Neurospora crassa OR74A: one gene and its partners. The protein of the gene in region 1 interacts with the protein of each later gene in a pairwise test. Links are inferred from orthologs where the notes say so. Each region holds a gene or a part of one and is shown in the gene's direction. Other genes may lie near its edges. The genes, in order: act, NCU04637 and crn.

Region 1 (3,995 bases):
TAGGCTACATATCTATCTCCGTCGGATCCCGGACCGGGGCGGCCATGGAGCCTTCAAGACACTCGGGCCCCGGGGCCATGGGAATTGCGATCCGGACAAGCTCCAAGAGATCGTGATCAGCCAGGCTCCAACAGAAGAGACGGTAAAGAAGACATTGGATCTTCTGGAATTGCAATCGCGGTTCTCCAGGAGGAGTAATAAACAAGTAATGAACGGGGTACGACAAGGGACAGCGACCAGGTACGACGGCAACGACGCAGGGGAGGGACATTAGGTTGAAGAAGACTGAACGCTGACACAACGTCGGGGGCGGACCCAGCCACGCACCACGCTCCCACCGTGCTCACTAGGTACTACCTACGCTACGTACAACTGAACCGTCTGTCTAGCTGCACCCGTCGAACGGCACGCAGCGGTGACGACCCCGGCCGTGCTGCGATATGATATCCTTTTACATAGTATACAAGTCAGGTCGTGTAGGTATCCAATGTAGTTAGGTAGACTGAAATCAAAGGGGATCTTGAACGGGCTGCCAGTTGCCAGACGGGCATTGATGTCAACCTAGACGTCGCCTCCGAGGTGCGGAAGCCTCCCAAAGTGTGTTGGCGGCAGGAAGATCCCCTTTGCCCTCCCAAAATTAGGCGGTGTCTCCTACCCACTTTCCAGACGGATCGCAGGCCACTCAGGAATCCACCTTGAGCCACCTCGAATCAGGCATGATACTGCGACTTGACAACTTGTCCACGAAGATGCCAGAGGGCAAGGGGGCGGTGCGGCCAGTGATTTGATGATTTAGAGTAGGGGTGTGGAAAGCGAACAGCGAGGGAGAGGGGACGGCCTGGGAAGAAGGCAGCGCAGTTACCTCTAGGTTTGTACTTGTAGTCTACTGTGGTGATCCATCCCGTCGTGAACCGGGCAACATGGAGTGCAGGCAGCGCAGCAGCCCGGCGAGGATGAAATGAATGCTTGTTGGGACCTGGAAGTCGGCCGGGCACTCACTGTCAGTACCACTCAGTGACATCGGTGTCGTCCTTGCCCGCCTTTCCTTCCTCCTCCTCCTCCTCCTCCGCCGCCAAGTCCCACAACCACGCCGTGAGGTGACCAGGCCCAGTCCAACCAACTGGACCTAGCAGCCAGCAATGCCCAGTGCAGACAGTCCCGGCCCAGTCCCGTCCCCAATGGAATCAACCGTCCCCTCCCCTCCCCCCCCCAGTCCGCCATCCGTTCCCTCGCACCTGGCACCACAGCAATCCCATCCCCTTACCTCCCCTACCTTTACCCCCCTCAATCCACCCGCCGCCTCGTACTCCCAAAGCTGACCTTAAATTCACCTCCCCTTTTCCAACTCTTCCGCCTACCGAACAACATCCAAATTTTTGCCCAAACAACGTCTCTACGTCCTTCGGCAACACCTCTCTCAGCCAAAGCATCATCGCTCCATCGATCCGGGAATCGTCGAGCGTATTTAATAACTCTTCTTCTGTACCTTTTGCTTAATCCGACACTTTTCGTCACCACCTAATCTATCACAATGGAGGGTACGTAACAACATGTCCACATTCCTGCCCAGTCTGCCCGCGCTGGCGAGCTGGTCGCCGGCGGATCGGACTTCTACCATCGCCATCTCCCTCTACTGGTTATCATGGGCACAAGCTGATTCATGCGTTCCCGCCAACAGAAGAAGTTGCCGCCCTCGTCATCGACAATGGGTAAGCTTTCCCCTCCTTTTCGCCTGCGCCTCACCGACTCCTAGGAGAAGCGTCATATTCCTCCCGCAATCGACGCCTCGCGGCCCCCCCATAGCCCGTTCTACATGGTGAACAATGACGATGGACAGTAGCTAACAACCGCCCAGTTCGGGTATGTGCAAGGCCGGTTTCGCCGGTGATGACGCCCCCAGAGCTGTTTTCCGTAAGTGTTCCCACTATTCCCGCGAGGTGCTCTTGCTTGAGACGGGCAACGTGTCAGCAGAGCTACTTGCCTCCCCGCCAAGACCCAACGTCCCAGCCATGCTAACATGTCGCGATAGCTTCCATCGTCGGTCGTCCCCGTCATCATGGGTATGCATGCCACTTTCCCCCCCGCGTCCCGTGCGCGCAACACTCCAAGACTTTCAGAAAAAACTGACAACATGCCAGTATCATGATCGGTATGGGCCAGAAGGACTCGTATGTCGGTGATGAGGCTCAGTCCAAGCGTGGTATCCTTACTCTCAGGTACCCCATCGAGCACGGTGTCGTTACCAACTGGGACGACATGGAGAAGATTTGGCATCACACCTTCTACAACGAGCTCCGTGTCGCCCCCGAGGAGCACCCCGTCCTTCTTACCGAGGCTCCCATCAACCCCAAGTCCAACCGTGAGAAGATGACACAGATCGTTTTCGAGACTTTCAACGCCCCCGCCTTCTACGTCTCCATCCAGGCCGTCCTTTCTCTCTACGCCTCCGGTCGTACCACCGGTATCGTCCTCGACTCCGGTGACGGTGTCACTCACGTCGTCCCCATCTACGAGGGTTTCGCCCTTCCCCACGCCATTGCCCGTGTTGACATGGCTGGCCGTGATCTTACCGACTACCTCATGAAGATTCTCGCTGAGCGTGGTTACACCTTCTCCACCACCGCCGAGCGCGAAATCGTTCGTGACATCAAGGAGAAGCTCTGCTACGTCGCTCTCGACTTCGAGCAGGAGATTCAGACCGCTGCCCAGAGCTCTTCTCTCGAGAAGTCCTACGAGCTTCCCGACGGTCAGGTCATCACCATCGGCAACGAGCGTTTCCGTGCCCCTGAGGCTCTCTTCCAGCCTTCCGTCCTTGGTCTCGAATCTGGCGGCATCCACGTCACCACTTTCAACTCCATCATGAAGTGCGATGTCGACGTCAGGAAGGATCTCTATGGCAACATTGTCATGGTAAGTCCCCGTTCGCTGTGGAGATGGCAGTATAGGCTAGGTCCGCTAACAGAATCGTCACTAGTCTGGTGGTACCACCATGTACCCTGGTCTCTCCGACCGTATGCAGAAGGAGATCACTGCTCTTGCTCCTTCTTCCATGAAGGTCAAGATCATTGCTCCTCCCGAGCGCAAGTACTCCGTCTGGATCGGTGGTTCCATTCTCGCCTCGCTCTCGACCTTCCAGCAGATGTGGATCTCCAAGCAGGAGTACGACGAGAGCGGTCCCTCGATCGTGCACCGCAAGTGCTTCTAAAGTGGGTGCCCTTGAGAGGTGGTTGTTGCAGTTGGAAGCGGAGCGTCGTCGGCTTACACCATGTATGTAGTTCAATAAATGGACAAATCCACGACTGTCACGAGCCAGCGCCAACTGGGGACATAACACCCCTATCTGCGTCAAGTAGCATGTCTGCATTGCGCGTGTATTCTGCACAGGTCTCTCTTATACAAAAAGTAGCGAGCGTGGTCAGAAGGGGGCTGGCGTCTCTTTTCTCTACTAGAAGACATAAATAATGGCCTTTTTTTTCTGTTTTCTGGGTGGGCGGCGACGGCTGCGAATGCGTGGGATAGGCGCGGTCAAGTATGCGGGCTTCTTGATCTTGCCAACACCCTTTCTCTATTTACTACACTTTTAGCAGCAAGATTTAGTCACCACTGGGAAATTCGAGGTTATCGTGGATGAAGAGATCATCAAAATTCAAACAGCGTTCTGTATTTCTGAGCACCTTCAGCTGCCCTTTCGTTGGTCGTGAGATACGTGCAAGCCAAGGAGAAAAGGGGAATTGCTAGCCGTCAAGGTATCGGATCCACCGTAATGTCTTATTGACTTGAAGGGGAGGCGGCCATACCTACCGAATCCAACTAAGCGATCCTCACCGCTTCAGGAACCGAGTAACAAGCAGCCGTTTCCTTATGATCAAACATGGCCAGGATTGCAAACCAGTGGCAGAAACCACAGATGGCTTTTCGCTGACACAATGGGTAGGTATTCTTACTGTCTAGTGTCTACCGCCATCCGCATTGTTTCCTCCGCGCTTCTCAGCCTT
Region 2 (11,011 bases), about 3.7 Mb from region 1:
CTTCAGCCTAGTTTGGGTCCGGTCAACCAGATTTGTGTGGATGAGTTGGGCGGATTGGGGGCCATGCTTCATCTCCTTGTGTTGGAGGCAGAGCGAGGAGGAGGCTTGGCCGTTGGATCGTCTCCCGGCTTGGTATTTCCCACAACCCCAAGGCCAGGAAATAGAAGTGACAAGAACGAGCGTGGAGTTCAGCTGAGGTGGATGCCGACCAAGCGAGAACTTCGCCGGTATTTCACTTCTCATCGTGTGAGATGATGAGGGGAGTCAGTTGAGGTGGTCAACAGCGAACGTTCGGCATTGAAGCGGGAGCTAAGCTGCCAAGCAGGCACCTGAAATCTACCCCACTTGCCTGCCGTTGACGGGGAGGAGGCTTGCTGTTGCCTTGTTGCAGTGCCGCCCCCTGCAACTGCCCGCTCATCCCGTTGACGTCTCCATCAGCTTATCTATCATCTCGTCTCATCATCCCGGCCCTCTTCTGCCTCAAGGTTTCGACTTCAGTTCTCTTCCTCAAACTTCCTGTTTGGGGCGGATGACGACCTCAAACTTTTGGGCTTTACCCCTATAAAAACTGAATCTTGGAAGTATGCCGGATAGCCTGAGGGGAAGTACTCACGCAAGCAATTTAAGTCTCGATCCTGCAGTGAGCTTCAACATGGGCCTGTTTCCGCAACACTGTACACGGCAGCCCGCACATGTCAAAACCATAAATTGAGGCCTGCTCGAATCGTTTTGATCCAAGTCATCGAGACGAACACCCTGTCTCTGGAATGGTGAGTCCAAGTGCCATTCCATATTCGCCAAACCATAACTAAAGTTTCGACATCGACATATCAGTCAACATCACGATATCTTCGCTTGCGTCAATCATGCTCAAAAATATTGTTCAGAATAACAGTTTATTATCCGAAACTAAAGTCGTTGCGTGGTCATGAATTCGTCAATAGGTGAAATGGGGGGTATAATCTTTAATCCATCCTCAACCTCGTCTTCCTTCCTTTCAAGACGGAGTCTTTCCTCGATCATTTAGAGATCAGCGTTCTTCTGCGCCTCAGCCTCCTTCTGGATATCATGTTCCGCACCACGCTGCTGGGCCTTGCCAACATCATGCTGAGACTGATATTCGGCCTGCTTCTCGCGGTCGCCGACGAGCGCGGCAGCAGCATTTCCGAGCTGGCCGGTAAAACGATCCTTGGCGCCCTCGCCGAGGTCCTTGACCTGGCCGCGGGCTTCCTGCTCTTGGCCTTCGCGGTTTTGTTGGCGGCCGGCTTGCTTGAGGTCCTGTAGCAATTGGTAGGTTAGCGAGCTGTTTGTCGAAGACGAAAGAGTGAAAAAATGGAGGTAGCAAATAGACATACCTCAGAGCCGACAGCTCCACCGATAAACTCCTTGGCCGCGCCGGCGGTCTGTTTCCAAGAACCGGACGTGCGGTCGGGGTGATCGGCGGCGACGGCACCGTCAGAGGTGGCCGTGAAGCCGGGGACCTTAGCGGTATCGTGCGAGGCGGCGTGCTCGGCGTGAGCCTTCTCCTGCTTGAGCTCACCTTCGGCCTGTAGTCCTGGGTGTTAGTTATGGGAACGAGGTGAGTGTGAACCAAAGGACTGCAACCGTACCTGATCGCCGCGGTTGCCAACGATATTACCAACGGCGCTCTGGACAGCGCCGGTGGCGGAGTCGATGTAGGACTTGAGGGTGGAGTTGTTCTCGGTAGACATGTTGGGTGGTTGTGGTATGTTTAGGTTGATGTGGTGATGGATCGGTTCGAAGTTGTTGTTGGAGAGTAGTTGTGGTTTATTGAGTGATGGATTGTATCGTGGGAATGATGATCAGAAAATTGTCTTAAGGGGCAGGATATCTTTTCTTTATATATCCCAAGCTCGACTTGCACAAGGTCCAACACAACCCGCATGAAGACAAACAAAAGCAAGATCGGATGACCAGAACAGACCTTCCCGTCCATGAAAATTCAGGGTCCTACCGAAATCTTGGCCTGGGGTTGGAGGCAATGACGGACTGGAGAGGCCTGAAAATGGCCATGTGAGCCTTGTGTCAGTTCATCACTTCCGAAATGTCTAACCCGCTTTTTGCTCTAATTGGTCCAGTCATGGTCTTTCTTGTTTGTTCCAGTTCGTAGCTTCCAGCAACTTACTAGTCATTGCATGTGGCAGCAATGTCCATTGGATGGCCTTACCATAGTGTGTGCCTGTGAAGATGTCGTTTGTAGTCTCACAAAGCACACCAGAGACTATGATGTCATAGGCGAGAGGCTGCCAATAGGGGTTCGTTCGTCAGTTCATCCCACCATCTCAAACGAAACTGTGACATCATAAGTCGTCGCAGCCACCAACGAGCCGAGCTAAGCCCCTCAACACCAAGGCGGTTTTCAGGTGGAACCCTTGACCCTTAGTTCTGAGAACGTACACTACTATGTACACACTCACTCATTGTCTGGCCTTCGACCTCGGTAACTGGCCACATTGTATACGCACGCCCTTTGTAGAGTTCTTCAGCAGAACCATCGGGTTGGGGGGTTCAGAACAGTCACAAAATGGACACGATCTACACACAGCCAAAGTCAAATGGAAAAAAAGACGTTTATCAGCCACAGTGCTGGGGAATTATGTGTATCCATTATATGAATGATGAATTGTTCTTCTGACACCTCCGAGCGCCGCCTCCCAGCCCTATGGTATCATTCTCTTGCTCATCAAAACAAAGGTCATCCGCAAATATCGCTTACATACATGATAGTATACAATGGGTCATGTTTTGCCCCTTGCTTCCGTCCTTGCGGGAGCCTCGGCAATTCGTAAAGTTGGCCGTATAAACAACCCGAGCGGCCTGTAGTGTTTGTGAAAAGGCAGCGCAGCGGGAGAAATAAAAATGCAATAGAAACTCCGCCCAGTTTATAAACCGTGTTAAAATACCGCACATCAACCACATCATGTCACCTCTCAGTGCTGACTCCACTGGATCGTGTTCAGGTCGATACCCTCCTGGACGAGCTCCCACAGAGGAGAAAGCTCACGGAGGAAGCCCACACGCTCCGTTACGGCCTTGAGCACGTAGTCGATCTCCTGCTCGGTAGTGAACCGGCCGATACCGAAACGGATACTGGAGTGGGCGCTCTCATCACTGTTACCCAAAGCACGGAGAACATAACTAGGCTCCAGAGAAGCCGAAGTGCAAGCACTGCCAGAAGAAAGTGCAATATCCTTCAAGGCCATCAAGAGGGACTCACCCTCGACATAGGCGAAAGAAACGTTCACGCAGCCGGGGTAGAAGTGGTTGGGATCACCGTTCTGGCTGGTGTGCTCCATGGAGAGCAGACCGTTGAGAAGACGGTCGGAAAGGTGCTTGATGCGCTTGGAGTCGTACTGTTGTAACAGTTAGCGCCCATCCTTGAACGAGAGATGCATTAAATGTGGGATATGGAAGAATCATGATCAGAGAAGTTGCTGTCTATCAACAAGGAGTCCTTGTCACGGGACTTCAGAAAGCCATGCATGTGTAAAGCGACTCATCATAAAAGGGGCAAAGGAAGACAAAAGAGACTGTAACATACCGGCATTTCTTCCTTGGCGATGCGGCACGCCTCTCCGAAGCCGACAACGAGCGGAGGAGCGAGCGTGCCGCTGCGAAGACCTCTCTCCTGACCACCACCGCTGATAATGGGGTCCAGTCTGACTCTTGGCCGACGACGGACGTAGCATGCACCAATGCCCTTGGGGCCGTAAATCTTGTGGGAGGAGATGGACATCAAGTCAATGTTCATGGCGTTAACGTCAACGGGGATCTTGCCAACAGCCTGGGCAGCGTCGGTGTGGAAGAAGATCTTCTTGGACCGGCAAAGCTTGCCGATTTCCTCGAGGGGTTGGATGACACCAATTTCGTTGTTGACAGCCATGATACTGACGATGGCGGTGTCGGGACGGATGGCAGCCTCCAGCTCCGCCATGTCGATCAGGCCGCTGCTCTTCACTGGGAGATAGGTCACTTCGAAACCCTCGTCCTGGAGATGCCTGCAGCTGTCGAGGACACACTTGTGTTCTGTCTGGCTGGTGATGATGTGCTTCTTCTTGCCGGACCGGCCAAAGAACCTAGCGACGCCCTTGATACTCATGTTGTTGCTTTCGGTGGCACCGCTGGTGAAGATGATTTCCTTGGGGTCAGCGCCAATCAGATCAGCAATGTGTTTCCTCGCCTCTTCAACGGCCTTGTCAGTCTCCCAGCCGTAGGCATGTGTCCTCGAGTGGGGGTTGCCATAGACGTTGGTGAAGTAGGGCATCATGGCATCGAGCACTCTGGGGTCGATGGGGGTTGTGGCCTGCATATCCAGGTAGATGGGACGCTGTCCCTCATCCATCACGGTAGCATTGCTGAGAACATCTAGTTGAGTCAGCAACGAGGACGACTGCGCAATATGTCTCCGAAGAGGTGGGAGGTGATGATGATGCTTACCAGCCATGGGGCTGACGTGTTGGCTCGAGCCATTTTGCGCGCTTATAGTGAGGCCCTGCTTCTCCATCTCCCTGTGATCCAGCTTGATAGCATGCTCGGCCTGCACGTCGGCGTTGTTCCTCTTGGTCTCGGTCACATAGCTCCTGGAAGCAGAAGCAGTCTTGACAGCAGCCGCAGTAGTCGCCCGCGACAGCACACGCGCGCTGCGGAGAGGAGCGGCCGCGGCCAAGCGCGATGCCTGTCGCAAGACGGACGGCGCAATGGTGGACATGGTAAAAGGAAGAAGAAAGAAGGAGAGGAAAAGAGAATATGGTGGTGAGGGTGATGGCGGATGAGGGAGAAAAAGTTCGTTTTGTAACCAAACCTACAAAAACGGATGGAGGCAGCGGGCGGGGCGGCTCAAAACACACTCAGAAATTCAGATGGAGCTGCCGCCTCCCGCTCTTCGGCGGTCGGAGTGGAATTTCCGCCATACAGAAAAGAACAAATCGAAACAAACGGCATCCGCACGCGGACTTGGCCTCGGAGGGGTCGGTGATAAAGGAATGTGCCAATGAGGGGCGACAACCAACAAGGTTTGGCACTTTGATTGGTCATTCTGCCATCGGATGGCCCCACCTGTTTCTTTCTCGGACATCGGACAAGCGCGTATGTACGTACGGCGAAAATGACGCTGCTCCAAAATGTTAGAGAATGGGCCGCCGGGCATGACGGAAACTGAACGCTCGATGTGCACCGCGGCGACTGACTTGACAAATACAGTGCGGAATGTCCACTTGTGAAACGGACTCCGCGGACGCATCTGATCCATCATTGCACAGAAAGGAAGAGCACTGACCCGGGGCAGGCATCCATCTGTTCTCTCAATCGGCATGTCCACTGGGATGAAAGCTACACTACAGCGGGCCCCAGACCCAGTCGGTCTACCCCGTCGTTCCAATTCGTTCCTTTCCGGGGTCTCATCGACCAAAAGCAGAACAACCGATGACGGTACCTATTTACCTCCTCGGTAGTATTCTGTTTCCATTCGCATTGGATGTCTGCGTTGGACTATAACTTGAACCATCAGTGACATGCCATATAACCGCCGACAACCTACTTGAATTCCATTTACACTGCTAAACTATTTAGTAGCATCTTACCTCTAGGACAGCTACCTCTAGCTACTTTACCTCCTACCGTTGAAGACCGAATCCTCCCCGAGGAAGTTTGTCGGACCTCGAACGGAACTGCTGACAAGGGTCCGACCGACGGGATTCAAGAACAAACCGAAATCACAAGACGCCTAGACAAAAAGACTTTTCACACTACATCTTGGAACGAGGTCGCTGTGTGCGGCGTGTCCAACATTCAGCAAATAGCAGCGCCACGCAAACCGTCGCAAGCTTCGCTCAGCCAAGACTTCGTCCACCAGCCAAACGACCTGCACCGCCCCCCTGCCCACCCCCAGCGTCATCACCATCGTATCCGGATCCGACTTGAAGAGGGCACTCGACCACCGATTGCCTTCAACCTCTCCGAACAGCAACCCGCTTTGCGCATCTCCATACAAACACCGAATACACATCAGACATCATACGGCTTCGTAGCAGAATATGAGCTTCAGGGGCTTCCAAAAAAGCGTGGTCCGCGTAGGTTCTGCCCCGCATACCTAGTTGATCTCACCTCCCCTAGTTTCGGTTACAGCGTCATCATCACTTCCGCCCTTCCCGTCGAGTCCCCCGTCTGTGGCAGAAATAGCGCCGAATCACTCGGGTTGGCAAACAGGCACTAACACGACAGAAACCAGGCACCACAACAATTCAAGCAAAAGTTTAACCTCGGCGAGCATACCAAAGACCCTGTCTACATCGACTCGGAGCGCAGATTCCAGGAGCTCGAAACCGAGACCAAACGCCTTCACGATGAAAGCAAAAAGTACTTTGAGGCCATCAATGGCATGCTGCAACACCAAATCGAGTTCTCAAAGGCAATGACCGAAATCTACAAGCCCATCAGCGGCCGCATGTCCGATCCCGATTCGCTCGTTCCCCATGGCAACTATGAGGGTATTGCCGCCTGCGAGGAGTACGAGGCCGTTGTCAAGGACCTGCAGGAAACACTGGCGCCAGAGTTGGAAATGATTGAGGCTAGGGTTATTCGGCCAGCGAACGAGCTCCTCGATGTGATCAAGGTCATTCGCAAAACGGCCGTGAAGCGCGAGCACAAGAAGCTGGACTACGACAGACACCGCGCCACCCTCAAGAAGCTCCAGGACAAGAAAGACCGGTCGGCAAAGGACGAGAAGGCCATGTGGAAGGCTGAGAACGAAGTTGAGCAGGCCACGCAAGAGTACAATTACTTCAACGATCTGCTTAAGGACGAGCTACCCAAGCTGTTTGCCCTCGAACGCCAGTTCATTCAGCCGCTTTTCCAGTCCTTCTACTACATGCAGCTCAACATCTTCTACACCTTGCACGAGAAGATGCAGCACTGCGACATTGGCTACTTCGACCTGACCCTGGACATTGAGGAGGCCTTTTACGCGAAGCGAGGTGACGTCCAGGAGCGGGCTGAGGCTCTCTCCATTGTCAAGTTCAAGACCACGGGTATGAAGCGACCGCCCAAGTACCAACGTCCAGGCGCTCTCGAAGGAAACAAGCCAGCAGGCCTACTTACAGCTGGCTCCTCCACGACCACTTCCACCGGTCCGCCTGAGGCGGCTCCCTCAGTCACAGCCCCACGCCCCTGGGAACAGCAACAACAAGCTCCTGCCGTCACAGCACCGCGACCTTGGGAAACCCAGGCGGAAACAGTAGAAGCGCATGCGCCGCCACCGTATTCGGTGAAGCCGAGCACGCTACATGCTACGCCCGCCTCCTACGCCGCTCCAGTTGCCAGCCCGAAACCCTCGTCGTTGTCCATGGCGGCGGCTGCAAAGGCCAAGCCCCCACCGCCGAAGCCCAAGCCCAAGGCCCTCATGGCGGCGGCACCCAAAGTAGAGACCGTCACAGCGCTTTACGACTACTCGGCGCAGGCGGAGGGCGATCTGAGCTTCCGTGCCGGTGATGTGATTGAGATAGTAACAAGGACTGCGAACGAGAATGAGTGGTGGATTGGAAAGTTGCATGGAAAGCAGGGTCAATTCCCAGGTACGTACTGTACTATTTCTTAGGGTGCTTGCTTTGTTGCGAGCTGGATATGTTCTGACACAATGGTCTTTTGCTAGGAAACTATGTCCAGTTAAACAGCTAGAGGATACAAGGCTACTTGTAAATGTAGTTATCAAAGAGTTGCTTTCAGCACACTTCACTTCTCAGCACGACTTCAACCTATACCCCTTTTTTGTGGACCCGTTCATGGTCGAGTTATTCATTTGCAACCACAACACGGATTCTTTCTAGTTCGTCTACATCGTACCAGGCCGTGACGTTCTGTAGCAGGGCCTTGGTGATCCTATACGGATGCAATGATATGCGGCAGGTGACTCTGTTGAGAATAGTCAGGCAGGAGGAAACTCCGTCGCGAAGGAGGACCTGCGAGGAGCGTGGAGCGAGAGGGTCCCGGGTGTTTGCGTCTAGGGAAATGGCGGGTGTATTGTTTTGGAGCGAAGGAAGCAACGGAGTGAAAAGGTCACAGTGCATTGGGTCAAACCTGGAAGTTTTGATTAGATGCGTTTTGCCATGATCGCCGTCGTGGTTTGTTCCCTTTAGGTTAGGTACTTGCCCGCGCGTCAAGCTTCCTCAGGTGAAGCTAATTTCTAATTTTGTTAACGCAACGACCACGCAGCTCAGCTTGAATCTAGTGTCACCAACAACCGCTTGCCTTGTCAAAACTACCTGGCTCGGCTTCACCTCCTGGCTCGACTCCAAGGATTCAGGTTTTTTTTTGGGAGGAAAGAAAGATGTGTATCATATCTGCTACTCATCTACAGGTAGGTATCACTGAAAGCCATGGCAAGTGTACTGGAGGGTCCTTATTGGAAATACCGATGTTGAACGATGGCCTCCAGCTAAGATGCAATGCTTCGGTGCCCTGGATAGCGAGGTCCTCTGGTTTAGCTTCAAGTGAGAGACATGCACCTGCCTTGTTGTACAAGACTAAGGCTAACAGAAGCTTCCAATAATGCGCCAAGCAACCCAGCTGTATGCTCCTCCCTCCAATTCTCCATGAGTCCCTCCGTGGCTGTGAAGCAAGACAGGGAGTCACAATCTCCAGTATGTCGGGCAAACCCAGATCTATGGGCTTTTAATTCCCCTCTTCTCACTTGCACACAAACTCTTCTTCCTCTTCTCACAAACACCACCACTACCACCAAGCGCAGCGTAACTCGCAGACTCCAGGCAATCTTTTGGCCGCCATTTTTTGGGTATCGTCTCTCTATTTGTCTTGCGGTTCGCAGTATTATGTCATCTCTTCTCCCCTGGCCTCTTTCTTCGTGTTGATACACTTCAAGCGTTTTTATTTGGAACGAAGGAAATCTTGCACTAAAAGAAAGAAAACACCCCCGGCTACCAATCCCCTTCCGCAAGACCACTCTCGACAGCCTGTCTGAATCAGTCCCATCAATTTGCGTTGGACTTGCCTGGCCTTATTTTGTTGCCGACTCTTCTCTCAATCGTCCCCGCGGAACAGACAGGCCCATTCAAAACATCCGAGTCCGCTACCAAAAATCAACGAATACACAGATTCGGCTTGAAGACCAACACCGGATTTGTTCTTCCAGTTCACGACACCAACGCGATACTGCTGCTCTCCTGGACTTGCCGTGAGTTGTTTTTTTAGTTCCTTTCACAAAGTATTAACGTGATGACTCGGAGCTCGATTATCGTTGCGTGGACACTTCATGAGTATGCAGTTGACTAACACGTCTCAGACCAGGAAGGACCCTTTACGCCCTTGAAGGACCGAAGGCACCCACATCGAGCGACATCCGTGGGATTTCAGACAATATGGCTGCCGTAACCAGTCACATCACCAGTCGCAGGAACTTTAGCCGCTCTAGAGTTCCTGCGTTGAAAGTCAAGACTACTGTGGGGGATTCAGTCGGTTTTGATGGAAAAGGAAAAGCACTTGCATCCGATGACTGGCGCAAGTATGCGTCTGCCCCTGGAATGTCAAACAAGGGGAACCTCCGGAAAAAGATTGCTCAACGGTCGAGCGCTACAGAGCACTCCATGGAAATGCCTCGCGAACCTGGATTCTACCGCCCGAATGACGGCGAAACTGCTTAGGAAGTGGTTTCATCAGCACCAGGAGACCGCTCAGTCTCAAACCAATCAGCGGCGCACTCTGCAGGTACTTCTGAACATTCAATTGACTCGGCTCAGAAACCAATAGTGGTTCATATTGAAGACATGAAGCCAATGCTCATGAACGTCAACGGCGAAAACATACCATTACCTAACCGATTCACTTTCGACATCCGCCCCAAGTGCTTCAAAAGCGACCACTCCGATGACTCATCCAGCTCCCCTACTTTTGGAGAACTCAGACGCGTCCTAGATCCCAGAATCCTCAGCGGCAAAATCTCCTCTGACTGGGTGACTATCGACCGCGAGCTCCCGGACGATATCCAGGCCTTACTAAACACCATTCGGGAACTCCCCACATCAAATGCCCCTTCTAGGAAGCCCGAAAGTTGCCCATTTGATGCGCCCCTGTCTAGCAATAGGCCCCAGGATTCCAAAGACAGTACAGGCGCGTCTGAACGTTCGGAAACAAAGCCTCAAGATGACGAGGAGAAACGCTTTCGCAACATGATCAACCGTCTCCAGAAGCGCCTGCCAACTCCATCCTTGGTAAAGCCCAGGGTACCAAGCAGCAAGCTACAACCTGCTGATCCCGCCATTCTGTGTGCCAAACTGAAGGATGGTGCAGTGTTCGAAAATACCCAACTGAACCAAGTCACCGAGCCGCGCCCTGAAAGAAAGGGCAGATTCAGCGACTCTGGGTACGCCAGCGGTAGCAACCCATCGTGCATCGTACATTACTCAACGTCGGACAACTCTAGGGATTTCCAAGACGAGCCGGCCGCGGCCACAAGAAGAAGTTTGGAGGCCCAAATCGCAACCAAGAAATTGAATCCTGCAGCAGCCGAGTTCAAAATCTCGACTGACAGTGTACATCTGCCCGTGCTCTCTCCCAAAAAGCTATCTCGTGGCCCGCTTACATCGCTTCTTTTCAACCCAACTCCTGATGTGGCTGTGGCCGGGGCTCTCCCTTCGTTGGATAGGCTACAAACTGCTCAGACGAGGCAGGACATAGGCACTGCAGTTGATATGTTGCAGATTCAACAGCCAAGTCCCGTCAATTCTGGTTTGAAGGCCAAACAACGAAAAGCACCTCAGGTTCCACCCACCCAGCAAGCTTGCCTTCCTCCTGTTCAACATCTTTATAATCCCGCTCTGTCCGATGTCAATCCCATGGCTCTTACTCATCCCAGCTTGAGCTTACCGCCACAGAAACCCAATGCAGCTCTCCCATTTCCCCCTGCTTCATGGATTGGAGGACCAGGGTTGGGCAACTTTGGGACATTTCCACCACTTACCGCCCCATCGATGGCAGTTCCGCA
Region 3 (11,129 bases), on another chromosome or scaffold:
GGAGTGTATGGTATCCATGAAGCTGTCGTAATGTAGAGAGAGAAGGTCTAATGGGCTGATTCCTAATCATGTCATCGCCTATAACGTAGGTAGAGGACTAGGGACACTATCCAAAAGACGGCAAAAGAGGGTAGTGCATGGAGGATGGCTGGAATGTAAATAAGATGTGGAAGCAAACGCCAAGGTGGATTGCGAATTGGTGTCCAACAATGGAGCTCCCCCCGGTCACGAATCCGGCTGCTGAAGACGGGGAGAACGAACCCTTGTTGGCGGGATGTTGACTTGGTCGCAACAAAGATTCAACGAGTTCAAGTTGCCCGGGCAACTGCAACGCAGGTACGAAAGCACACGGTACGTACCTCACTACGTGGGGCGCATCGGCCAGCCAGGGGCAGCGGGATGGAATGGCAGAAAGACCCCACCTTTGCCTGCCGTGTGAGGTGGGATGTCACTTGTGGGAATTTTGGCGCTGTGTCACTCACTGCAACTGAACTGAACTGAACTCGAGTGAACTTTTTGCCCGAAGTGGAAGAAGAACGAAGCTTCGAGTCCGTCGTCTTCTCACTTTCTCTTTTCAGGGTCTCTCCCAGTTTCTCTCCCGCAACACTTGATTTCGACAACTGCTCTGATCCGTCGCAATCCTACTTAGGCTTCAACAGCCACCGAATCCCAACACAAGACAACGCGACATTTCCGAATTGCTACCTACCATGCGCCGAACTTCTCTTCCTCAGCGCCTTGGGCGCAATGCGCATGCTGCCTTGCTCCATCGTCAAGTCCCCTCGACAGTTCTTCGAGCTTCGTTTTCCACCTCGATCCGCCTCGCGAGCGGCGCCCCGGATGTAATCGTCCCTAGAGTCGCCAAAGTGTCATTTTGGAAGTCGTTGGTTCCCAAGTTCTTGCGATTCGGCGATGACTCCATCAACCACACAAAGATGCCGAAATCGACCGAGTGGAACCCGGCCACCTTCTTTATCATCATCTTTCTAATGATCGGTTCCATGGCTATCCAGATGATCTCGCTCAAAAAAGACTATGCGGCCTTTTCGCGCCAGGCCGATGTCAGGATTAATACCTTGCGTGAGGTGGTCGAGAGGATACAGAAGGGTGAAGAGGTGGATGTTGAGAATGTGTTGGGCACTGGCGATCCGGAGAAGGAGGCTGCTTGGGATGAAGGTTCGTTAAACGCAGGTGGATATGATACGGAGAGCACAGGCTGATATGAAGATTCAATAACAGTCCTCAAGGAGATCGAACGCGAAGAGATCATGCACAAGGCAAAGCAACAAAAGGCGGCGAAACTTGCCCAGCAAGCCAAGGCAGAGCCCGTAAAGGAACAACCCCAGACGCAGACCGAGACCCAGACCGAGACAACGCCCAAGATCTCGCCTGCAGCCCTCAAGGGTGCCTTCTTCTAAGTCGACAAGACCTTTTTATTCTATTATTGATAGATGGGCGTCCGCTAGCGGACCCGTCCAGTAAACAACCTGCCCACGGGTACCTCGGCCACCATGGCCCCATTGTTATAACTCTTGAGCTCCTCCACGAGCGCCGGTAACAGCTGTTCAGTAGCCATCTCCACTCTAACCCCATGAGGACCGGCCATCTTAGGGTCTAGATCTTCAAAGAACATCTCTTCGCGCCTCACACCACCGATGCTCACAATGGCTATAGGCATTCCTCGGAGCTTCGCCCGCTGTGCCAGCCGCCAAGCCGAGTAGGTCGCGAGAGAGGTGCCTAAGATGAGCATTCGTCCGGCATTGTCAATGGCCTTTTCCGCCTCGCTCTTGACCTCGGCGCTTATACTCTCTCCAAACATGATTACTGCCGGTTTCAGAACTCCCGCAGTACTGGACGGTATCCATGCACCATCTTTGTCGATTTCTACCCATGTCTTGGTGCCATCTGCAAGACGTGGCGGCTCCTTCAGACACGACGGACATGCTGGGTAACGAAACGTGGTGTAAGGTGCCTCGGCCAGGTCCACATCACCATCTGGGTTCATCTTGATACCCTTCTTGTTCCGTTCTTCAATGTCCTCCGTCTCCAGGGCTCCTGATGCCAGCGCCTCGCGAAGGAAATCGGCCCAGATCGGGTTGAGCCTGGCCAGTGTGGTTTGATACTCATCTCGAGGAAATTGGTTCCGGCACGATGTACAAACAACCGAGGCTAGAGTCCCGTGCAATTCGACGGTTTGTATATCGGGATGGCTCATTTTGTGGAAGGAATCGACATTCTGTGTGATTACACCCGTAATGCTTTTGTTGTTTCGGTCACCGCTGTAGCGCTCGGTGAGCAGATTCCCAAGGTCCCGGATCGCGTAGTGGCCCGGGTTCGGGCCGGCCCGTCCCAGACCCCTCCATCCGATGTAGCTTCGTGCCCAGTATCGCTGCCGCGTCTCGTGGCTGGCGAGAAACTCGTGGTGGAAAATCGGCTTGTAGTCCTTATTGACCCGGTAGGTGCCGTTGACGCCACGGTAGTCGGCTAAGCCGCTGGCCACGGAAAGGCCGGCACCGGTGAGGATGACAGTTCGATTGGGTAAACCGGACGGCGGAGGGGCGGTGAGGAATGACTTGAGAGCAGCCACGGCGCCGGGCAGGGTCGTGGCGGTGGCAGGTATGATGGTGGTCGGGGGAGGCAGCTCTCGGTAGGGAATCCGCATTCGGAGGGTGCCGGCTGCTGTTGTCGCTAGGGTGGACATTTTGATGTGCTGCCGTATGATTCGGATCTGATGGGTGGCAGTATTTGTTGTTAAGGATAACGAGGCGGCACACGCCGCTACCTACAATGCCAAATCTCCATGTTGGATGTTGTGAAGTTTGTCTCAGTCCAGATGCGGAATCACAGTGGCACTCGGTGAGATCGAGTCAGTGTCGTCACCGAAGATCCGAAAAGCTCGGGCCATCTTGGCATCTGCATGAGCTGCGGAACAAAGAACAATTGTTTACTTGCCCCTTTCGAAGAACATGATGGTCATTGACATATAACGAATTAGCTTGAACTTGATAGAATGGCTGTTGAAATTTTCCAGACGGGTTTCTTTTTGTAACACTCCAATTGAAGAGGTGCGTCTATCCTGTATTCCCGTTGGGTTGGCTTTGCTTACATTACACTAGTTCTACACCATTACGGGATCTTGTCCCGCCCCATGCTTGGTGGGGTGGCTGAAAGCTCTCGTCTACATAAGACCTCAAGGTGGTACTTGAACTCAACAGAGTCGTATGGTCTAATGGTTATGATTTCTCGTTCACATTAGTTGAATCTGATCCGAGAAGGTTCTGGGTTCGATCCCCAGTACGACTAAGTTTTTGACTTTTTCTTCACAACGGCGCCATCATAAGGAAATGCGTTTCCATCACTCAGTCTGTTATTTTTTCGTTTTTGGTTTTCTGTCTTTGATCCCGTCTTCCAGATGCCGAGAAATAGCGCTCTATGAATGGGATGGTGACAAGTTTCCAGCAAAGTCGATTTTCAATTTTGGCTGTCAACATCAAGACGTTGAATAATATCGATCCATGCCAATCGATTCTATGAACTTTGATCTAATGACATTGACCAACTAAACAAATCTCTCTGAATCCCGAAAGTTCGGGTATTTTGTCACATGAGTATCTTTGCGCAAGCACCATCACTTGTTCAGGCTTTCTTGTTGTAACATTGTCTTGTGTCAACATGATGGATCCACACTCAATGCGTGTCCCCCCTGAACCCCCTTTTCGAGTTTGTTTGTATCCAGCGAATACATGATGCCTCACCCTTGACTTTCAGAGAGCCATGCAAAGACACGCAATACCTCCTTACTAGCTGCCACCACTCGCACAACACATCAAGTAAAAATCCTTTCTTACTTCGCAACAGTTGGATCTCATTTATTATCAGATGCGACCGGATGGCTGAAGGACTTCACAAAGGTCCCAGAGCAGCATTGGCGATGGCGTGCGAATCGAACGTTGGGAACACGGGGAGAGGGGCAGGCAGTGGGGAAGTGGACCAGCTAAAGAGCTCACTTGCTGCCCTGGAACATGCGCCGAAGCCAAGCCGATCAGGGACGGGTCCACGCCGACGGGACCTGCCCGGGACTCAGCCGCGCCAGCCCAGGATGGCCTAGTGTAGTCGGTTTAGCAGGGCAGTCAACCACCTCAACAGTCGCTTGCTGCACCAGGCACAGGCAGGGCCAAGTATCGGTCAAGTACCCGCCTCTGAGGTGTGTCTGGTACTAACCTCCTGGTTTATTACTACTGGCAGGTACCACTGTACCCCATCGGCCGGTATCGATTCCCAAACCACCAAAACACTGAAAGTCCCCCCCCCCCCCCTATCTCAGCTCCCGTCTAAACACTCAGTAATCCATAATCGAGTCCAAGATTTATTTCCTTACTACACTATTATTCCCTTATTCCTACCAGCTACCAGCTAGCAGCTTACTGCCCTAATCCCTCCCGATGTCCGGCCGTTTCGTCAGAGCGTCGAAGTATCGTATGTCGATCCCCCGTGTTCCTCCCCCGAAGGCTCCTTAGCACACCAGCTGGATGGATACTGTAGCTCCCGAGGTAGCGCGCCGTATCCACGATGGGAGTCGCGACGAGCTTGGAGAGAGAGACATGGACTGACACGATAGCCGCGACTGCTAGGACACGTCTTCGGCAAGCCCACGCGCAAGGAGTTCTGCTACGACAACCTTCGCATCAGCCACAATGCCTGGGACACCAACCTCATAAAGGTAGGTACCTACCTGTTTAAATACTTCCTGTGCTCCTACGCTCCTCTCCACTACTTGCGCCCTATCCATAGCTTCCATGGTCGTTATATACTGACCGTGTCTTTGTCTCGCCTACACCTAGGCCAACCCCGAGTACTTGGCCGTCAACTGGGAGTCGAGCGGTGGTGGCGCCTTCGCCGTCATCCCCCTCAACGAGCGCGGCAAGCTTCCCGACCAAATACCGCTGTTCCGTGGCCACACCGCCGCCGTCCTCGACACTGACTGGTACGCTCTTGCGCATGCGCTACAACGACCCGACAAGACAATCTGACCTAGGCTCCTCTTAGGAACCCCTTCAACGACCGCTTGATCGCCTCTGCCTCCGACGATGGAAAGGTGTTTGTCTGGCAGGTGCCCGAGAACTTCACCCTCTATACAGACGCCGAAGAGCCGGCCGATGTCTCACCCCTCAGCAAGCTCTCTGGCCACACGAGGTACGATCTACACCCTGAAGATAAGATTCAGTAAGGCTTGCGCTCACACAAACCAGAAAGGTCGGCCATGTCCTCTTCAACCCCGCCGCCGAAAACATTCTCGCCTCGTCGTCCGGCGACTTGACGGTCAAGTTCTGGGACGTCGAGACCGGCCAAGCCCCCATCGCCATCAAGCACCCCGACATTGTGCAGTCTTTGTCGTGGAGCGCCAACGGCACAATGCTTGTCACCACCTCTCGCGACAAGAAGCTGCGCGTGTGGGATGTGCGCCAGCAGTCCGCAGTCCACGAATACCAGGGCCACGAGGGCGCCAAGAACAGTCGTGCTGTATGGCTTGGTGAACACAACCGTATCGCCACCACTGGTTTCTCCCGGATGAGTGACCGTCAGGTTGCCCTGTGGGAGCCTGGCAGGAAGGACCCCATCGGTGGTTTCACCTCGCTCGACTCCATCTCTGGTGTCTGCATGCCTTTCTGGGGTAAGTCACGCTTGCTGGACCATGGCTTTTGTATGCGCCGAAGCTAACTGTGGTCTTTTTTCGTAGATGACGGCTCTAACTGCCTGTACCTTGCTGGCAAGGGGTAAGTTTGTCGCAACCCGAGATAGGAACGATAGATAGCATGCTAACGTCCGCAGTGATGGCAACATTCGTTATTTCGAGTACGAGAACGACAAGTTGGAGTTCCTGGCCGAGTACAAGTCTGGTGACCCCCAGAGAGGTATTGCTTTTGTGCCTCGCCGTGGTGTCAACGTCCACGAGAACGAAATCATGAGGGCCTACAAGACCGTCAATGATCAGTACATCGAGCCCATCTCCTTCACTGTTCCCCGTCGTGCCGAGACCTTCCAGTCCGACATCTACCCCCCTGCGACCGGCCTCAAGCCCGCCGTGTCCGCCCAGGAGTGGTTTGACGGCAAGGACGGCATCCCGGCCAAGATCGACATGGAGAGCATCTACGAGGGTACCGCACCCAGGGAAGTTCCGGCCGATTACAAGCCTCCCACTGCCGTCTCGTCTCCTATCCAGCCCCCCGTGTCCAAGATGGAATCCACGCCCCCACCCGCTACTCGTGTGCCCACGTCGACCGTGGCGGACCAGAAGGCCTCCATGTCCGCTATTGCAAACAAGTTCCAGGATAACGAGGACGCCGAGCCAAGTGAGGGCGAGTCCTCTCCCTTCGAGGAGGTTTCGCGCCCCGCTGCTAGAGCCGCCGCCCCGGTTTCTGTGCGAACATCCCTTCCTCCCGCTTCCGCCGGCAAGACACCTTCCCCGACGACGTACCAGACCCCAGTCCAGAAGCTTGCCTCGCCAGTCAGGACCACCGCAGCCGCCCCTGCGCCTGCTTCTACCGCTTCCCCTTCCTCGGGAAACGTCGAGGCCTCTCTTTCCCAGATCACGCAGCTTCTTGAGCAGCAGAGCAGGATTATTGGTGCACAGAGCGACAAGATCCAGGCCCAGAGTCAGATCATCAGCCATCTTGCCACCGAAGTCGAGACCCTCAAGAAGAGGGTCGGACCCGGCCCGCAGGATCAGAGCGAGAGAATCAGACAGTTGGAGCTGGAGCTCGAGGCTGCTAGGTCGTAAGAGTCAGAGTTTTGAGAGTTCAGGTCCAAAGTTTATACGTCCCTCTCGCTCTCTCACTGGGTTATACTGTCAGACCAGTCCTTGAACATACTTCTCTCTCTTACCGAGTTTATAATGAAAGTCGACGTTGTTGGGGTAAGTAGTAGTTGGACACGTAGGGGATGGATGCAGGATGATTGGATGACGACGATATAGCTTTCAAATGGGGCATGAAATGAAAAAAGCAAGCAAGCAACTTGAAGCAGATGAAGATCAAGAAGGAGAACAAGGACAGCATAGCCAAGGCAAGCAAAGGAAAGCGTTCAATTGGTGTCTTTGGAGTATAGTAACTAGTTTTTCAACCTGTTCGTGCTGTATACTGTTCGTGTGAGCTCTCCCGATTCGTTGATGTAGTGAAGTTATCTAGGATATGGATACACTGCCCGGTAACGATTACGGTTTCGGTATGGACATTGGAAATCTGTACTCTTACGTGAGGCAAGTTAAACACAAGTAAGTAACCAGTTGACGGCATCAAACCCTTACCTACGTGACCAACGAGACGGCCGGCCAGTTAATACTCATTTATCATTGACTCCCGAACGTGATCTACAAGCGGGTAACTATCATAATCCCCATCTACCCCTTCACTTCCAATCCACTCTCCCTCACCCCCCACATAGTCGTTGTCGTCGTCGTCGTCGTCGTCGTCGTCGTCGTCGTCGTCGTCGTCGTCGTCGTCGTCACAACGATCACCCAAAAACCTCAAGATATCCTCATCCTCACTGGCATCAACCACCAACTCCAAATCATCAGCCAGTATCCGTCTCTCATCGTCCGAGTCCTCTCCCTTTCCCCCCTCCCATTCTTGATTGTCATCATCCTCAGCCCATTCTTGACGAGTCTGATTCTTCTTCCTCCTCGTCCCCGTCCCTCCTGGTACTAGTGACTCACCGGTATCCGTACGAACACTACTACCACCACCACTACCATCCATACCTCTAGCCATTCGCAGCATTCGCTCCCGCTTACGTTGTTGATAGCCAGCGAACCACCCAGTTAAAGTCTTCCGCTCCTTGTTCTGTTCCTCCTCATCATCTTCGGTCGAGGAGGAAGAGGAGGAAGAGGACCAGGAGGAGGGGGTTGTGGTTGTCCATCTCGATCCGTATACTTTGCTGGTGTAGCTTCTTCTTCTTCTTTTCTTTTTAACACCCCGCCACTTGCGGAGGGTGGTGCGCTTGATGGCTTTGGCGTACTGGAAATCAGCGGGTTGGGCTTCTTTGGTCCAAAAGGTGTGGAGGCGGTGGCGGCGGTGGGAGAAGTATTCGGTGGGTGTGCAAGGGGGAAGTTCAAAAGGGTTGGGGATGGAGGTGTCGGATTCCTGGGAGGTTTGTACTTGATCTTTCGGTTCGTTTTCCTTTTTCTTCTTCTTCTCCTCTTCTTGTTCTCCATCCTCCTTTCTACCTCCCGCGGCATCCCTCGCCCTCTTCTTACCCCCCATCACCCACTCCTTGATCTCTCCATCCTGTATCCTTCTCTCCTCCTTTCTCCTCCGCATCTTCACCAAACCCTCACTCAAAAACTCCAACTCCCTTTTCCGCCAACTCGGCAACGCAAACTGTCTTTGCAGATCCTCCTGCGTCAAGAACCCTCCTCCTCCGAGCCAGCTCTCAAGTGGTAAATACCCCTCTGCCGCGGCTATCGCCTCTTTCTTGCGTTTATCCGTCTGCTCGTAACTTTTCATGACGTCCCGTATCTGGTTTCTCACAATCTGCAGCAAGTCTTCTTCTTCTTCTTCTTCTTCTCTTCCCTCTAGGCCTGTGGTCCTGACATATGCAATGAAGGGAACTTCAGAGTTGAAAAACCTTTTCAGTCCTGGCGTTTGTTTTTTGGTTTTCTTCTTCACAAGCTTTTTTCCCGTCATCTCCATCTCCATTTCCTTGCCTTGTCGTGTTGTTGTTTCGGGGTAAATCAAGTCCGCAAGATCCCGCTTCGTTACCTTTATTGCTGTTACGGCCGCGAAAAGGGGGTGATCTATCCACTCTTCCCTGTTCAATTCCCACTTCTTTCTTTCCAACTTTTGGTTCCCCGGGATGACCTCCTCCTGGGCCCTTGGCTTCCAGATCCATGATGTCTTTTTGTTCAGAACATAGTTTGATGATATGCGTTCTGGTGGTGAGGGTGGTGGTGCAGGAGGTGACTCTGGGTGTGCTTTGACTGGGGGAGAAGAGGAGGTGGTAGAGTTGGTAGACTTGATGGATCTCTTAGAGAGGGAAGTCTTGGATGAGACGTTTGACTTGGCGTCGGAATCGGATGCATTAGGGTCGGTGTTGCTTTCATTGTCGGTGTTCTGGTTGTTGTTGTTGGTGTTGTTGTTGGCATCATGACCGGGCAGATCGAGCGAGGTCGAGCTTTGTTGCTGTAATGCTGGATTCGCCGTGGACAATCTCGTCGACTTGCCAGACTCAACAGTTTGTGTAACCTTTTCCGGAGCAAAAGACCCATCCACATTCTCGTCCTTCACAGAACCCTCCCGAATCTTCCTAAGTCTCGCAATCCGCCGTGCCCTGCTCACCAGTGATTCTAAAGGTCTCTTTTCATCATTCCCACCACCTGCAGCACCACCACTATGTCCTCTACCACCAACACCCGACAACTCCTTGGTAACACTCACCTCTCCAGTCTCTTTCTTCCCGCCTTCATTTAAAGACCCCTCCCCCTCCCCCTCCCTCAACCTCCCCGAACCTACCATCGGCATCCACATCCTACCCCCCATCGGTGCTACGTTCCGTGCTCCATCCATCTCCCTCAACACGCACCACTCAATCCCATCCCTCACACACCTCGAACACCTTACCTGTAATCCTGGAACTGGGAGAGGAATGTCCGGTTTATATCTGTACCTGTACCACCATGGCGGGGTGAACTTGGGGCGTCGGTTTTGGTCACGCTGTTCGCCATGGTTGAGTAAGTTGAGGAGGGAGCACCGCGGAGAGGAGGAGACGAGGGAGCAGTGGAGGCAGGGGACGGAGGGAGTGTACACTGTTAGGTCTATGGGGTAGGGATAAGGAGGGAGACGGGGGAGAAGGGGTGGATTATTGTCGGATGGATGTGGAAGGGGGTTGTGGGTTTGGCGGGAAGGGAGCGTTGTGTTATGTGGCTGGGACATGGTTGGGCAATATCGGCTTGTAAAGAAACATCGGCTGATAACTGGTGAGATGATCCTTAAAGTTAAAAGTTTGCTTCGTGGAAGGGTTGGTATATATGTTGAGATTCTTCCATTTTCAAGATGAAGAGTCCAGGAGTTGCTGTCTCGTTGCTGCTTTGTCGACAAATCAGCAGATCAAAGCATTGTGGTGCGGGTGGTGTCAGGGTGTGGAAGTCCATAGTGTCTGTCATTTGAACACTGAGGATGTCCCGGTATGAATCATGACAAAGAATAAGGGGTCAGTCAGTATCCCCCCCAGTCTTCTCCAGCAATCCATATCAGTTCTGTTCTGTCACATTCGCATTCTGAGTCGTCAGAACCATGAACATAATCACAATTCCACCTTTTGAGAACCCATATAGAGATACCGAAAGAAAGAGACTTGATTTTTGGGCCTTAACCGCACCGTAAGCTTTTTACCTGACAGACTTGGCAGCCTTAACAAACTCCCTGATCTTCTCCAAGCTCTGCTTGCCTCCCTCCTCAACGCCACTGCTAACATCAACACCAATCACCCTCTCACTCAGAGGCCCCAAAGATTTTACCGTCTCGACAACATTGCTAGGCTCCAATCCGCCCGCAAGCAAGACGGTTACCTGCTCATCCTTCTCCAACTCCTTCTTGACAGACTCCAAGTCCAACAACGTGCCGGATCCAGCGCCCGAATCCAGCAGGGGCACGGCATGGTACCCACGGGTCGCAAGACCGACCTGGCCGGGCTTGAACTTGCGGACAACGGGGACTGGAATAAGGTTGGCCCACTCGAGCGGCTCGTCACCGTGGAGCTGGACGATATCGAGATCGTAGAGATGCTGCTTCTCGAGCACCTCCTCAAGGGGCTGGTTCATGAAGACACCTACCAGCAGAGGTCCCCGCTTGCGGATGATCTCGGCGTTGATATTGAAAAAGTCCCTTGCGGACTTGGAGGCTTGCGAGGAGACCTCGGTGGATCCGGTCTTCTTGCTCATGTGCACAGCCTGGGAGATGGAAAGGGCGGTCTCATGGTCGACGCAACGCTTGGTGCCTGGCACCATGATCATGCCCACAAGATCAGCACCGGCCTTGATGGCTTCCGCAGCGGCCTCGGCAGAACGGGTGCCGCAGATCTTGACAAGCAGCGGCTCGGCGGCGGACTTGGGCACGGGGCCCGTCAGGCCGGCGCAG

Evidence for each region.
Region 2: the proteins of act (region 1) and NCU04637 interact in binary tests that used the Saccharomyces cerevisiae proteins (3 or more experiments, as listed by UniProt). The link is inferred for Neurospora crassa OR74A from reciprocal best matches to the Saccharomyces cerevisiae genes ACT1 and RVS167.
Region 3: the proteins of act (region 1) and crn interact in binary tests that used the Saccharomyces cerevisiae proteins (3 or more experiments, as listed by UniProt). The link is inferred for Neurospora crassa OR74A from reciprocal best matches to the Saccharomyces cerevisiae genes ACT1 and CRN1.

The regions. Positions count from the first base shown.
Region 1 is NC_026505.1:5,085,575-5,089,569, forward strand, and holds act (actin, variant), read left to right. Parts: upstream 1-1,195; 5' UTR 1,196-1,531; coding exon 1,532-1,538; intron 1,539-1,678; coding exon 1,679-1,709; intron 1,710-1,855; coding exon 1,856-1,911; intron 1,912-2,029; coding exon 2,030-2,060; intron 2,061-2,138; coding exon 2,139-2,910; intron 2,911-2,974; coding exon 2,975-3,205; 3' UTR 3,206-3,206; exon of another isoform or gene 3,207-3,275; 3' UTR 3,276-3,673; downstream 3,674-3,995. Other genes in the region: NCU04174 (hypothetical protein), read right to left, coding at 3,948-3,995. UniProt on the Saccharomyces cerevisiae protein: Actins are highly conserved proteins that are involved in various types of cell motility and are ubiquitously expressed in all eukaryotic cells.
Region 2 is NC_026505.1:1,372,666-1,383,676, reverse strand, and holds NCU04637 (BAR adaptor protein RVS167), read left to right. Parts: upstream 1-5,337; 5' UTR 5,338-6,053; coding exon 6,054-6,089; intron 6,090-6,247; coding exon 6,248-7,589; intron 7,590-7,666; coding exon 7,667-7,692; 3' UTR 7,693-8,437; downstream 8,438-11,011. Other genes in the region: NCU04635 (hypothetical protein), read right to left, coding at 1,024-1,278, 1,356-1,547, 1,611-1,712; NCU04636 (cysteine desulfurase), read right to left, coding at 2,952-3,374, 3,563-4,386, 4,459-4,729; NCU04638 (hypothetical protein), read left to right, coding at 9,795-11,011. UniProt on the Saccharomyces cerevisiae protein: Component of a cytoskeletal structure that is required for the formation of endocytic vesicles at the plasma membrane level.
Region 3 is NC_026503.1:2,986,047-2,997,175, reverse strand, and holds crn (coronin-6), read left to right. Parts: upstream 1-4,248; 5' UTR 4,249-4,442; coding exon 4,443-4,476; intron 4,477-4,631; coding exon 4,632-4,720; intron 4,721-4,841; coding exon 4,842-4,984; intron 4,985-5,046; coding exon 5,047-5,193; intron 5,194-5,249; coding exon 5,250-5,671; intron 5,672-5,737; coding exon 5,738-5,774; intron 5,775-5,829; coding exon 5,830-6,778; 3' UTR 6,779-7,228; downstream 7,229-11,129. Other genes in the region: NCU00205 (hypothetical protein), read right to left, coding at 1-18; NCU00204 (hypothetical protein), read left to right, coding at 711-1,176, 1,240-1,418; nst-5 (SIR2 family histone deacetylase), read right to left, coding at 1,463-2,701; NCU00201 (hypothetical protein), read right to left, coding at 7,332-9,348, 9,615-9,718; trp-1 (anthranilate synthase component II), read right to left, coding at 10,382-11,129.